Linked DNA regions of Mytilus edulis. The protein of the gene in region 2 interacts with the protein of the main gene of each other region in a pairwise test. Links are inferred from orthologs where the notes say so. Each region holds a gene or a part of one and is shown on either strand. Other genes may lie near its edges.

Region 1 (6,893 bases), on a different chromosome or scaffold from region 2:
AATATATACCTTCAATTTTATATACAGAACAAGTGATGTTTTTGTTTACTAATTATGACTTTAATATGCACATAATACAGTAACTCTTTATGATGCTTAACATTTTTGCAGTTTACATGTTTAAGCTAGCACATTTTTGTTATTTAGGTAACAGTCAAAATTGCATAAAACAGTAAAACAAATCTACTTTTAAAGAACAAATAATCCAAAACAGATTGACAAAAATATTCCAGGAGATAGATCTTATCATGCTCATCATTTATGCAGTGTTAACTTTTAACCTAGCTACTGTAGTTTTCAAAATAACAGGGAAAATTGTGAAATATGTATATTTCAGGGGAAATAACTCCAAAACTTGTATATTTTTCTCCCTAATTGGACAATGGACACACAATGATTGCAAAGGCTCTCACACCCCTATGAGCCAGTCAAGTTTAAATGCATATTTTATAATATTCTTTAAACAAAAAATACAAATGTTTACCTTCTTTGACCTCTAGCTCTGCTGAAGCAATATGAACTATGGCATATCTTTTGACTATGTTTCTTGCTTCTGTTAGCAGCTGAATGGCATCTTCCAATAGCAACTGTTCACTGTAAATTATGAATAAATCAATTATCAAACTATGCTTTTGTTTCTGGAAATAAATTTTCTTGACTAAACAAAATACTATGGCAGTTAACATTCACTTTATTTAGTTATACCACAGTAAGAAATTGCTGTTTTAAAAACTGTCAAACAAAACAGCCATTGTTATTTTCCATAATTTCATCATTGAGGAATACCATTTCCCACATAAATTTGAATTCTAAGGAAAATTAGAGTCAAGGATAAAGGAAAAGACAACACCTCACAAACAAAATATCAGAGAATAAAAAATAAAAGCTTTAAGTTAATTTTGTACTATAAGTACATGTTGTGACTATAGTTTTGATATGCCAAAGATCCCTACAAGAAATGGAGGAATTAACGTTGATCATGATATTAAGGACAAAACAAATTGGTTCAGAGCTGCATTTGCAATTTTGGGAAGTAAATATTGGTGCTCATGTTTGTAACAAATATTCATTAACCAATCTCACGAAAGTACTGTATGGCATCGTTGTGCTATCTCCACAATCTTACAAAATTATTACAATAATCTATCTGTTATATTACCTTTTGACCTCAGCAAAGTCTATAAATAGATGAGCAAATGCTTCATTGTCTTTATTTGCCTTTCCATCAATAGCCTGTAAATAAAGACAGAGAGATATTAATAATGATGGTGTGATTTTTAAGACATAAATGTAGTGTGATCTCTGAAATATATATCAATAAAGATAGTGTGATCTCTGAGATATAAATAAGTATGGTCTGACATCTGAGTGATATACCGTAGTATGATCTCTGAGATTTAAAGATTGTGTGCTCTCAGATCTAAATAAATATTGTGTGACTTCTGAGAGATATAGCGTGATCTCTGAGATTTAAAGATTGTGTGATCTCTAAGATATAAATAAATATGGTGTGACATCTGAGTGATATAGTGTGATCTCTGAATTTAAAGATAGTGTGCTCTCAGATCTAAATAAAGATCGTGTAACATATTAGACATTAAATAAAAATAGTATGATCTCAAATATACATAGCTACAAGTATAGTGTGTTTCTAAGTTTTTATGGAGCACTTACCCTGAAATTTTCTCATACAGATCAGAGAGAAAGTTGTGAGCCTGGAACCTATCATTAAAGTTTGTATGGGACTCTTACCCTGAAAGCTTTCTCATACAGATCAGAGAGAAAGTTATGAGCCTGGAACCTATCATTAAAGTTCAGATTGTGTCTCATGTAAGTTGTATATTCTAACCAATCTTCAGCACGGTTCCCACAGTCAGTTATCTTTCTCATCCATGTTTTATAATCTGAAAAATTCTTGGAAGTTAAGTAAAGAAAAGGAATGGTAAGAGCTATAGTTGTAAATGTTTTCACTCTTTTCCAATAAAGTGTTTTTATTTATTGTTTTTATTTAGCATGTTTAGAAATGAAAAAATGAAGTAGTATTTAGGAACATCATAATTTTTAAAGATTTTCAATGCTTTGCCATTTTTTAACTAAAAGGACAGTTCTACATCTAAAGCCATTAAGAGTGGACATTCATATCTTTTCTTATTTATGAAATGGCTAGGTAAAGCTATAAATCTGTCATGACATGCTGATAAAGCGACAGATAATATCATGTTAAAACAAAGCCAGATTAGCTAACCAATACTAACCTGTCACCTCACTGGTATCCTCCTTCTTCAGTTTGTGTAGCTTACTCTTCAAAGAGCTCATGGATGTCATGGTTCCAGATCTGTAAAATAAAAAAAGGAATTAAGTACAATGAAGTACATGTTTGTGAGTAAACTGTAAATCTGTTGGAAATGGCTTGGTAAACTCTGCCATATTCTGTAAGTGATTGACCCAAGTAAGAACTTATATATTTCAAAGGTAAATATTGTCCAGACAATACAGCATAGGTAAATATCATCCAGACAATATGTCATAACATTAATATGTCTGTGGCCACAACGTACTGTGAAAAAGTTTCTGTCATAAGTTCATGGCAGAAAATATTAAATCTTACATATTCAGTTCCAAATCTGATTGAAGTTTTGTGGTGTCCTTGGTCAGTTTTGATTTATATACCTCAATCTACGGTCATGAAATAAGCCATGTCTTCTGCTGACCCATAAACATGGAATGTCCTAATGAAATTTCACATTGCATTAAAGTACATAGAGTTGTATCATACTTATAAAAAATAAAAACTGATGTAGGTGAGTGCAACTTAATAGTTGTACATACCAGAAACAATACTTGTTAGATTTTTTTCACGGTATATTATACAATTTTACTAACCTGCTAACTGTATGATAAGTTCTATTCATACGAAAACTAACAGTTTTTTTTTAAAACAATTTTTTATAATTACTCATTTACTGCGAGACGAGTATTGCCAAAATTTTGTGTGTACGTTGACGATATAATTACGACTGCCATACTTGGGTAGGATTGCTACGGAATCATCCGACAACAAATGTAGGCATGTTATACAGTGATTACACCATTGTAAAGATAAATCAATTTAGATTTATGATATAATAAGTTTTAGTGGGGTTGACAGCCTCTAAAGCGGCATATAACGGAAATTCGTCACCACCTTACATTTTTCTAAAATGCAAGTTAAGTACCTTGTGTTATATTAAGGTATGTAGGAAATTTTTTTCTGAGACAAGTGCCTGTGAATTGACCAGTAGCCGTATTGACTTTGCCAAGCTCTTCAGAGCTTATGTTTGTAATTGCTTGCTTATACCGACTCTAAATAAAGCTTTATGTCTTATGTCAATAGATGAACACAGGCACTTGTTTCTATCAATGGGAAGATCGACTATGCATATATATCATGTATATATATATATAAGAAAAAGTTAAGTAAAGTCCGTATGCTGGTAACATATAAGAAAATTATTAAAAGATAATAACGGTAAAGTGATGCATTGAAACCGTTATTATCTTTTAATAATTTTCTTATATATATATATATATATATATATAAGCTTCTATATATGGATAGTCTACCTTCCCATGGATAGAAACAAGTGACTGTGGCCAAAATTATAGGTGTCGAATAATTTTACCAGGTGCCGATTTGACTTGTAGTAGTACTAGATATATATACTTATAAACCATACTAAAAATTCAGTAACCTTCTTTTACAATTAAACTTATTCCTTTTGTTTTATATACTCAAGGTTTTCATATCCATTCATAATTCCCTGACATTTTTTAAAGTGCTTCTTAGTTGTTTTGATTTGACAAAGAATTTTGTAAAAAGCTCATTGATTGGACAAACCAACCCAGAAAGGGAGACAACAAAAACAGGAAACGAAGCTTACCGGATGTTGTTTTCTGTCATCACCAAAATTTGACATTCATACTTTTATTCCCCTGTATTAAAGAACATAAGACTGTCATAAACGATAAACGTACATCCTTAAAGAAAACATAGATAAATGGTTTTGTAAATTTAAGTCTGCCGATAGGAAAATGTCGGTCAATTGAAAGAGAGTGTGTTATCCAAGGGAAAATCATGAGTTCAACAAATGAGCAAGGCCTTCAAAATAAAACAGATACTCCAAGTGGAGAGGAACTCTCTTCAGAGCTGTTAGCAGGTAAAAGATTTTAATATTCAAACTGAATGTTGCATGTCATAGAAGAGTTTTGTTATTTCTAATATGATAAAAAAAAATAAAAGAAAGTGAAAAACCCAACAAAAATTCAGAATATCATATAAAAAAGAAGATGTGGTATCATTGCCAATGATGCAACTCTCTACAAGAGACCAAAATGACACAGAAATTAACGACTATTGGTCACCTTACGGCCTTCAACAATGAGGAAAGCCCATACTGCCGTCAGCTATAACAGGCCCTGAAATGACAATGTAAGTGAGAGTACATGTACTCGCAGTTAACTGACAGCTAACTTGTGAATAGATTTAAATCGGTATCCGGTTGTTCCGGCCCCAAACCGATCCGGCCCCAAGTCAATCCGGCCCAAAGTCGATCCGACCCAAGTCGATCCGGCCCACGTCGATCCGGGGCCCAAGTCGATCCAGCCCAATAATGAAATATGAATAAACTATATATTCACTATATGGAGGAATTTGTCACAAATTTGAACAGTATAAACGGAATTTGCAAAAAGTGTCGATGATGGACGACAACAGATAAGTGAAGTATTGGAGTACCAGTTAAAGAACAATTTTAAATCAATACGAAACTGAGTGTTATTGTGTCTGTGTATAGCAGTATAAGAATTTAAATGTTTTAAAATGTGAAGATACTTTCCATGTTGACTTTGAATGTCATGGCGATTTTTTTTTATTTACTTCTCACACAGAGTAGCTAAATAAATATTTACAGTCCAATGGAACCGTTCAAATTTAACTCATCATAATATCTTGTTTAAGCAAATCATTAGTCTATAATTGGTTTGTTAATTCAACAATTGTCTGATGATTGTGAACTAAGGTGATGCCACTGGTAATCACTTAATTCAATCAAAGCCTGATTAATTAAAGCATAGATGTAATACCCATTACATCTATGATTAAAGGTACGTAATCAACAAGGTCTTTAAAGTTTGATCTTTTTGTTTGGTATAAATAATAAGTATTAATTGTACATTTTTTTTTCAGGTACATCATAGGCTTCTATAACACTTGTTTTTTTGTAATATCGAATATACACGGCTGGTAATCTACACATGCAGAACATTTGGTTCTGCAATGAAAACCGTGAGAGGATTTTCCGGTTGTGCTTGAGTGGAGTAATTGTCACCGCTTCAAAAGGTATGTACATTTCTAAATCACAATTTTCTTATTCAACTGATCAAAATATTGAAAATCGGAGAATGCTATGCTGTGGTGAATACATTAATTGAAGAGATACATGTATAATTTACTGGTGTACATGGAGTTGAACTCCTACAAAATCAGTTGTCCCACGAGAAATTGCCTAAAAAAGTGACATTTGAATTTTGAAATGGTTCTATTAACAGATCTACAAGTTCAAATTCACTTGTTTTTCGGTCTATGGATATGGATGTCGTTTTTGGCGGCGTGTACGCTTTTCGGTGTTGATAGACGTCTTCATAAATCTAAAAACCTTATATTTTCATCATTTCATGCGTGAGGGAATCGGTTCTGATTGAGGACATCGTGAATGCGTGAGGGGACGTGAAATCATATCTGTATATCCAAGCTATGAGTCTTTGAAAGTTGGCTAAATTTGGTTTAATTGATGATGTAAAAACACATGTTTGTGCATAAACAAAATTATGAAATAGAATTTTGAAATAAATTGAGGGAAGATAGGTTTTATGCTATGTTTTACGAAGAATCAGTAAAATAAAAATTGTGTCAACGTTTTTGTTTCTTGCTACAAATAAATTTTTAAGTTAAAACCATCTCAGTTTTTATTTTTTACGAAAAAAGTTATCTCCCCTTAAATTGCTTATTTGACAAAAAAATTGATTGTTAAAACTCAAGTTTTGATATTTGTTTAAATATTGTACAATTACTGTCTTTGGATGAGGTAAATAGTTTTATTGACTTATGAAAAACTGATTTTCACTGAAGCCAACGGCCGAAGTGAATATCAGTTTTTTTCAAAAATCAATTAAACCACATATTTACAAAAGACAGTAATTCTTTTATTCCATATTCCGACAAAAATGTATGTAATTATTTATCAAAACAAATTTTACATAAAACAAGTTTATAAGAATTATGCACGTAAAAGTACGTGACATTTGCGCGGTGAATATACCATTTCCGCAAGTGAATATGCTTATTTATTCATAAAGAAAAACCAACTAAAATTGAATTGATATGAAACAATTTGATTTATACACAAAATCACCAAGTTGTCTGTATAAAATAAACAGTCTAACCAATAAATTCAGTTGCAAATAAGTCTCCAAACTAGACTGATTATTTGCTTAAATCCGCAAATTTTGAGACATATTTGGAACTTATTGGTTAGATTGTTTGTTCATGTAACAAAAGCTTGGTGATTTATTGATATTTCAAAATTCTATCACACAATTTCATGCACACACATGTGTTTTTTTCATGAACAATTTAACAAAATTTAGCCAACTTTCAACGACTCATAGCTTGGATATACAGATATGATTTCACGTCCCCTCACGCATTCAGGATGTCCTCAATCAGAACCGATCCCCTCACGCATGAAATGATGAAAATATGAGGATTTTAGATTTATGAAGAAGTCTATCAACACCGGACAGCGTACACGCCGCCAAAAACGCCATTCATACCCATTGACCGAAAAACAAGTGAA
Region 2 (7,521 bases):
GATTATCTAATATGCCTTGAAATCATAAAACTTTTGAGTCAGTTTTTTAACTCGTACTCCAAATTCAACCAATCAAAATGCTGGATTCATGTTTCGAGCAAGATTTTTGTGCTCCGAGCACTGAGCAAAGTTTTATGACTTTCTGTTATGGTATGTAACTCTGTTTACTACAGACAATCCACTTATCAAATGAGGAGTTATTGTACTAAACTGAAAAAGCTGATATCTTTAAATCAACCTCATAATTCTTACCCAATCAACATCAGGACACCAGCTATAATCAGAAACACCACTGTGTACTTGGATGCTGTGCAGAATTTCTGTAAAAGCAAACATAATTTCAAATTTAAAAAGTGAATGATCAATCAATGATTGCATGGGATAATAATTTTTTCAACTCATGCTTCCACTCAAATAAATCAAGTTGAAAATTTTGTCAACCCTGATATTTATGAGATGAGTACCGGTATTAGGTCTCTTATATATAACAAATATCATAAATAATAATTTACTAAGCAATTTATTTTTAGATTCACAAATAAGTCTTACGTTTATTAATGCATTTAAGATTGATTGATTGATTACTGTGTTGTTAATGTATCAAGATAAATCCCTGTTAACTACAAAATGTATCAAGATAAATCCCTGTTAACTACAAAATGTATCAAGATAAATCCCTGTTAACTACAAAATGTATCAAGATAAATCCCTGTTAACTACAAAATGTATCAAGATAAATCCCTGTTAACTACAAAATGTATGCATCAATTCAATATCAATATTTGTGTATTACACATGGTTATAACAGAAATAAGATAAAACTTACAGATCTACAGGAGGTGGGATTCGACTCATCTTTTTCTTCATAAAAGAAGTACATAAATGGTAACAGCAAGAACAGACAGAATGTAACCAGTGCATACAGTGCTAAAATAAAATTTGTTTTTCGTTCATTTTATTATATAAATAAGGCCATTAGTTTTCTTGTTTGAATTGTTTTACATTGCCATTTCGGGGCCTTTTATAGCTGACTATGCAGTATGGGCTTTGCTAATTGTTGAAGGCCGTACGGTGACCTATAGTTGTTAATTTCTGTGTCATTTTGGTCTCTTGTGGACAGTTGTCTCATTGGCAATCATACCACATCTTCTTTTTTATATGAATGTTCACTTATAGCATGAAACTTTAATAACACTGCAACTTGGAAAACTGAACAGAAAGTCATGACAAATTATCTTGGAAAATTCAACAAAAAGTCAGAGAAATTAGGCTGACTTTAAAGTTTTAGATTGCAAGGTCACAGTACAATCAATTTAGGGCATGAATTAATTAGATTGCACACATAATGATATTGAAAATAAAAAAACTGTAAGATAAGATAAGATAAGTAAAAAATATGTCTTTCAAGATTAACTACTTACTGTAGTATCCTATGGCTACTGTATTCTCTACTGAGTCTCTGGTATCTGATGAATTTGCCCATTCCTAAAATGTTTTATTCTTTATCAGTAGTGTCTAAACAGAATAATTCAAAGTTCTTCCAAATAACCGTAATGAGTCATAGACATCCGACATGCCATTTTTATTTGGGACACAAAAACGCTGAAGCATTACCTAAAGTGGTAGGTTTTTTTTAGATCTTTAAATAAATCTCCATACATCTTTTAAGAAACTTGTGCGAGAGTCAAAATATCTAGTGGCATTCTTGCATGTATTACATAAAACAAGAACAACTGCAAACAAACAGATTGTTTATCATGCTGTTAGTCTTACCTTGAAAGTGCCATCACTGTTCTTCATAAATGAGGCTAGAAACACATCTATTGGTACCAAACATACTGTTAACAGGGCAATGGTAAGGGAGATAATCCCAGATATAGTTGTTGATAATGATGGATCATACTTGCTCATAAAATACTTAATATATACTACTGAAAACAGCAAGGCAAGCTAAAACATAAAAAAAAACTTGGCACAATTTGATATGAAACTCAAAGAAATAAACTGTAATTTGTAAAGCAAGGTCATCTCATTTTTCTTAGAATTTTTAATTTTTAATTTGTGCTTCCAAGAGTATCTGAATAATTTCTTGTATCATATCTTTCAAAGGAAAATTCAACAATTACACACGCCCTTATGACATCATTTACAAGATAGAAGGTGCATCTGTATCCATGCACCATCAAAGTTTGAAGCATTATTTGAATGGTCATTCTGCAGAGTAGTCTAGAAATAATGTCCGTATGTACGACTGAAGGGAGGGTGACCAACTAGAATTAAAATTTGATTTCCCATGCATATATGTAGGTCATGTGGTTATGAAGGTTACATGACACATACAATTAACTGCTGTATCTCAGATCAGGTGTATCAATTTATTGATCAGCCTCAGGTGGTCACATAGATTGTCATAGTAGAAATAGATGAAAAAGGGGTCTTTTTCTCGAGGCCTTTTGGAACAGACATAGAGAGTTATCCAATTTTTTTACACCAATAAATAAACAAAAGAGTGAATACATTGTACAAGTGAGATAACAACGAATCCATGACAACTCGCCCCACTTTTAAAAAAATAGCCACACTCTTTTTTGACGACAACTCCCATTGAAAATAGGTCCTGACAACTCACCCCACTTACGAAAAGTTTGTAAGTTTAAACTTTATAATATTAATTATGATAAAAGCCAAAACTGTATATATAACTTATAAAGTTACATTCATAAAAATTTTCTACAAACCATCTACATTGAGTGCTGTACATAGTCTGAAACAAAGCCAAAAATAATTCTAAACAAAATTACACTTATACTCTTATATCATTAGAGGTGTTCCTTTCTATAGAAACTTATACAAAGAAGCAGAAGAAAAGGGTTAAAATCCTGCTGAACATGCTGAATAAAGGTCTGCCAACAAAAACCACAATGAACTTCATCATGCCAATAGACCATTTTTAGAGTTCATCTGTCACCGGAAAAAATCATCAACTAAGCGTGCCTTTATGACTTCATTAACCAGATAAAGGGGATCGCCTGTACTATTAACCTTCATCAAGCGTCTTAGTGATTGTCATTGTGCATGGTATAAACTAGAAATAATGTTTGTTTTGTAAGTACTTAATCACTATTCCCTATTGACAGCAGTGCTGATTGTTAATTATGAGAATTTAATTTGCCGAATAATTTGTGCAATATATAGTATAATAGTTTTCCAACCACCCGCTCAACATTGGAACAGAAGTGACCATCCCCCTAAATGCACGAATGATGTTCACTAAAACATGTTCACTAAAACCAGAGTTTTTGATGGAAATGCATTGAACTCGAAAGTTGTCTATTGCTGCTATTTACAAGTGGGGCGAGTCTTTTGCTTCCGATAAAAACACATACGAGATGACAAAATTACATTACTCATCATTAGTCAGGTTGGGAACAAACCCCCTGTATGGTGATTATACCTCTATAGAAGGATCTATAAAGGGGTATTTTTGTTTGCACTGGATTTAAAGCAAATTAGGGCAGAATGGCATTTTCTAGTTATATTGGCTATAATCTCTAGCATTATATATATGCATCAACATATGCACTTTACTTAAAATTGGGATAACCAGTTTTCTGCTAAAGTGACAAAACTTGCAATCTATTGTAAACCTATCTGAACACCTGATCAACAACAAAAGGAATAGTTGACCTTTGAATTTCATGTTATATCTAACAATAGAAATTCTGTTCAGTGAGGCATAAGTGAGTAGAATTTACCTGATCATCACAGCTTTCAATCATGGTGAACAATAGCTTTTATATTTAGTCAGATAAGCATCAAACTGGGCATGTATTTTTGTTTTTGTTTTGGCCCTTTTGTTTTTGTAAATATATATATAGGCCACGCTGCGCGCGCAAACAGTAAATAATCTTCAGATCATTGAAGGACTACTGAAAACCTAAAGAAGAAGAAGAAGATGTGCATATTAAATTAAGTACATCAATTGGTGCATCAACTATTCCAGGTTACTGCCATAATAAGTAGAGAATGCCATTCTGCCCTATTTTGATTTTAGTCTAAACAAAAATACCCCTCTATAGAGGGATAAATTTACCCCTCTATAGAAGGATTATCCCTCTATACAGGTATAATCACCATATAGAGGGTTTGATCCCATATGAAAAACAAATCAATGTGTTTATGTTTTTGACAATTTCTATAGTTAATAAATTTATTTATGTTTTGCTGTAGGGACATGATGAATACAGACTGAATCACAGTAGTCAGTACCAGTGAATACAGGGGCCATTCAACTGAATTAAAGTTTTACTGTGAAAATCTGATCAGGATAAAAGATGACATGACATACTTACAATAATTATCACTACAAATGGAACCCAAGTAGCAGCAAGTGCTCCACTCAAGCTGACCATTTTGTTTTTGTTTTCGTTAAACGTCAAAGTAAAGCTTTATCTAGAGTTATCATTGTTTGTAAGCGTACAGATGCAGTTGAACGTAAAAAAGTTTTTAATCGACAAAGTCCGAAAGTTCCGAAAACATTTGTTTTGAGCGGGAAAGGCAAACAACAAAAAAGTCAACAAAATGGATTTCGCAGGCAACAGCAAAAAATCTGGACGATCCGCAAGAAATAAGAAACAGTTCAACCGCGTTGGTCATAATTTACAGTTCTACAAAATACCACCAACGGGGGAAATATCCCTGCAAGAGTTTGAAGAATATGCAATTGACAGATTAAAAGGTGCCCTAAAATTAGCCAAATTTACAATTAAGATAATCAATGAAAATCTAAGCAATTCTCCCTAATGACTCACAAATAACGTTATTGAAAAAAAAAATCCTGAAAAAATGATATAGCAATAACTTCTGACTAATTTTTATCTGGATACACCGATTTCCTGAGAAGTTCATGATTCGAGAACTCCCCAACAATACACCTTATCGCTATTTGTCCGCCATTACTGAAAATCACACAGGTTCCCTTAAAATTTTGACGTCATAATATAAAATATCTGACGCCACAATGGAAAAGTGCTTGTTGTATGCGTCAAAAGTTCAAGCGGCCTGGTCAGCCGGGATTAGTGATAAGGTGTATAGTCAATACGACAATACATCTCATAGGCGGATCCTGGGGGCCTGGCCCCCCCTTTTGTGGGAAAAATTTGGTTGATTATATAGGGAATCATTGAAGCATGACTGGAGCCCCCCCCCCCCTTAGGAAAAGTTCTGGATCAGCCACAGCATGTTATCGCTATTTGTTTGCCATTACTGGACATCACACAGGTTCCCGTTAAATGTTGATGTCATTATACAAAATATCTGACACCACAATTGAAAAGTGATTGGTGTGTGACGTCAATCATTTGTCCATAGTTCAAGCGGAACAGATTCTTGGGTCACCTGGGAAAAGCAATAAGGCATATAGGCCCCTTCACGGTTAGTATAGCCATGTAGAGAAGGGGTCAGATCATTTGAAAGAGGTGGAAATTGTATAATAATACAGGAAACCCTATGCACATGATGCATGTTTCTAAGAAACTGCTCTGTTTTATTGATGTTTTCCCAAATTTTTCAGACCTTTTAAACCTGCATTATGAAAATCTGCCTATATTCAATATGGCCAAACTAACTGTAAAGGGGCCTATTGAATATTGACCTGAGAGCCGATATATTATCTGAAATCTTTATAGGTTTTAAAGTAGATACATGTACTTATGAGATATTAGTCATTATTTACTTTATAATGGTACCATTTCACCTCAGGAATTTAATTTCTGCGTCTTTACACAGAGTTCACGAAAACTTTTTTTTGACCTGTCGGTCATGGGACTGACAAAGCAAGATTATTTGTCAGTCCTATAAAATTTTAGCCAGTCCTTAAAAATCTGACAATTTTATCCTGAAATAAAAATAATATCCTCATTTTGACCGATAGGACCATTTTCGTGAACTCTCATGCTTTACACAGATATGGATAACAATATGGTAGACGTAGTAAATATTCAAAACGCATATCGTCTAAGATTGCAAAGTTGTGACACTTAGGGATTTCCACTTTATTGGTAATATCATGCTAAGGCCATGGAAAATTAATTGTTGGTTTCCCCTAACATGGAAAAATTTTAAAGACCCGGTAGGCAGGCTCTTTTTTTTTTTTTGTAACCATGCTTAATTTTATATCTATATGTTTTGTTTCTACAGCAGAACTTTAATCTTGTATATTTCAAACACTTTGTGTTATCTCTGGGTTTTTTTTCCAGAAAAATTAAATGACCCGGTCGGGTTAGGGGAAACCATGAATTATTTTTCCATGGCCTAAAGCATTTATCATGGGCAACTTCAAAAAAACTTAATCAGATATTTTTTATTGCAATTTTACTCATATCATCATGCATGAAAAAATGGAAGTTGTGAATGTTCTTGCATATTATTTCTTTTAACTGTTTGCACTATTACTGTTTTATTCCTCTCTAATCATTTCGTTGAGCTCGGGGAAATCATAGCAATGTTATTGACAGACTGACTATATTTCTGAAGCTATTCATCAATTAAGTGTATAAGATTGTTTGCAAATAATTAAAAATTATTACATTCACAGTGAATAATATTTTCTCCAAGGTTTTGTTGGGTCTTTTTTCTTTTGTTCAATCGTCCTGAACATGCATGAAATATTTGACACTGGATGGTAAACAACCAACAATCAAATCAATTGTTTGTTCAAGGTTGGATTTTTTTCTATTGGTTTGCATATATAAGTGTAACAAACGTCCAATCATTCATTGTCATTGAGGATATAACTTCATCTATTTACAGATTTGAAGTTTGATTGAATCACCTCCACTTAAATGCTATTCTTCAATAAACACACTTAATATCAACTGCCCATTGATCCATACAAAAATCTTTGAAGTTTAAATTGAAAAATGTGTAAATTAAAACCAAAAAGTTCTTCTCAAAATAATATATTTAAATAATTGAATTGAAAATATTCTTATTTTTGGGCAATTATAGTTCATGATAGTTACCTTTATTCATTTTAGTGTTATATAATTTTGAGCAGAAACCAAAGAAAAATTATGAGGCTTTAACATTTTGTATACCTACAAATGTATGTTTGAACATAGAAAGAAAGACCTTCAAATACAGCCATTTAGGATTAAGATTATTACTGCAAGTCTCCTATTGTACCAAGGTTGTCATCACTTGAACATCAAGGATAAAAAAAAAGGGTGAATCTGTATTGGGAACTACAAGAATTTTATTTTATTTTATAATACTTTTATATATATATTTTTTCGTTCACCGTCTGGTTCACACCTGATTTGAAATTGTGCACACTACCCTAAGCACCCTTTCAATAGTTTCATTTTTGATTTTGATCACTTAAATGTCCAAGGTTCTTCAGAAAGGGGCACACTTTTCTCTCAGATATTCATAAGCTGAAAGGGGAGATTTTTTAGTTTGAACTGAAATATCTGATATGCTTCAGTTTGTTGGGTATGTTTTGTCATAATGTTTAATAGA

Evidence for each region. The genes of interacting proteins can lie anywhere in the genome.
Region 1: the proteins of DNA primase large subunit-like (region 2) and rho GTPase-activating protein 8-like interact in a two-hybrid assay, tested with the Drosophila melanogaster proteins (2 studies listed by BioGRID). The link is inferred for Mytilus edulis from reciprocal best matches to the Drosophila melanogaster genes Prim2 and RhoGAP68F.

Annotation. Positions count from the first base shown.
Region 1 is NC_092353.1:640,358-647,250, reverse strand, and holds the start of rho GTPase-activating protein 8-like, read left to right. Parts: upstream 1-3,890; 5' UTR 3,891-4,114; coding exon 4,115-4,196; intron 4,197-6,893. Other genes in the region: dual specificity protein kinase TTK-like, read right to left, coding at 485-594, 1,160-1,233, 1,753-1,904, 2,256-2,335, 3,772-3,794. UniProt on the Drosophila melanogaster protein: Functions as a GTPase-activating protein (GAP) for RhoA/Rho1 during gastrulation by converting it to an inactive GDP-bound state.
Region 2 is NC_092344.1:119,331,482-119,339,002, reverse strand, and holds the start of DNA primase large subunit-like, read left to right. Parts: upstream 1-4,517; 5' UTR 4,518-4,581; coding exon 4,582-4,738; intron 4,739-7,521. Other genes in the region: probable lysosomal cobalamin transporter, read right to left, coding at 253-320, 827-927, 1,422-1,485, 1,774-1,950, 4,353-4,412. UniProt on the Drosophila melanogaster protein: Regulatory subunit of the DNA primase complex and component of the DNA polymerase alpha complex (also known as the alpha DNA polymerase-primase complex) which play an essential role in the initiation of DNA synthesis.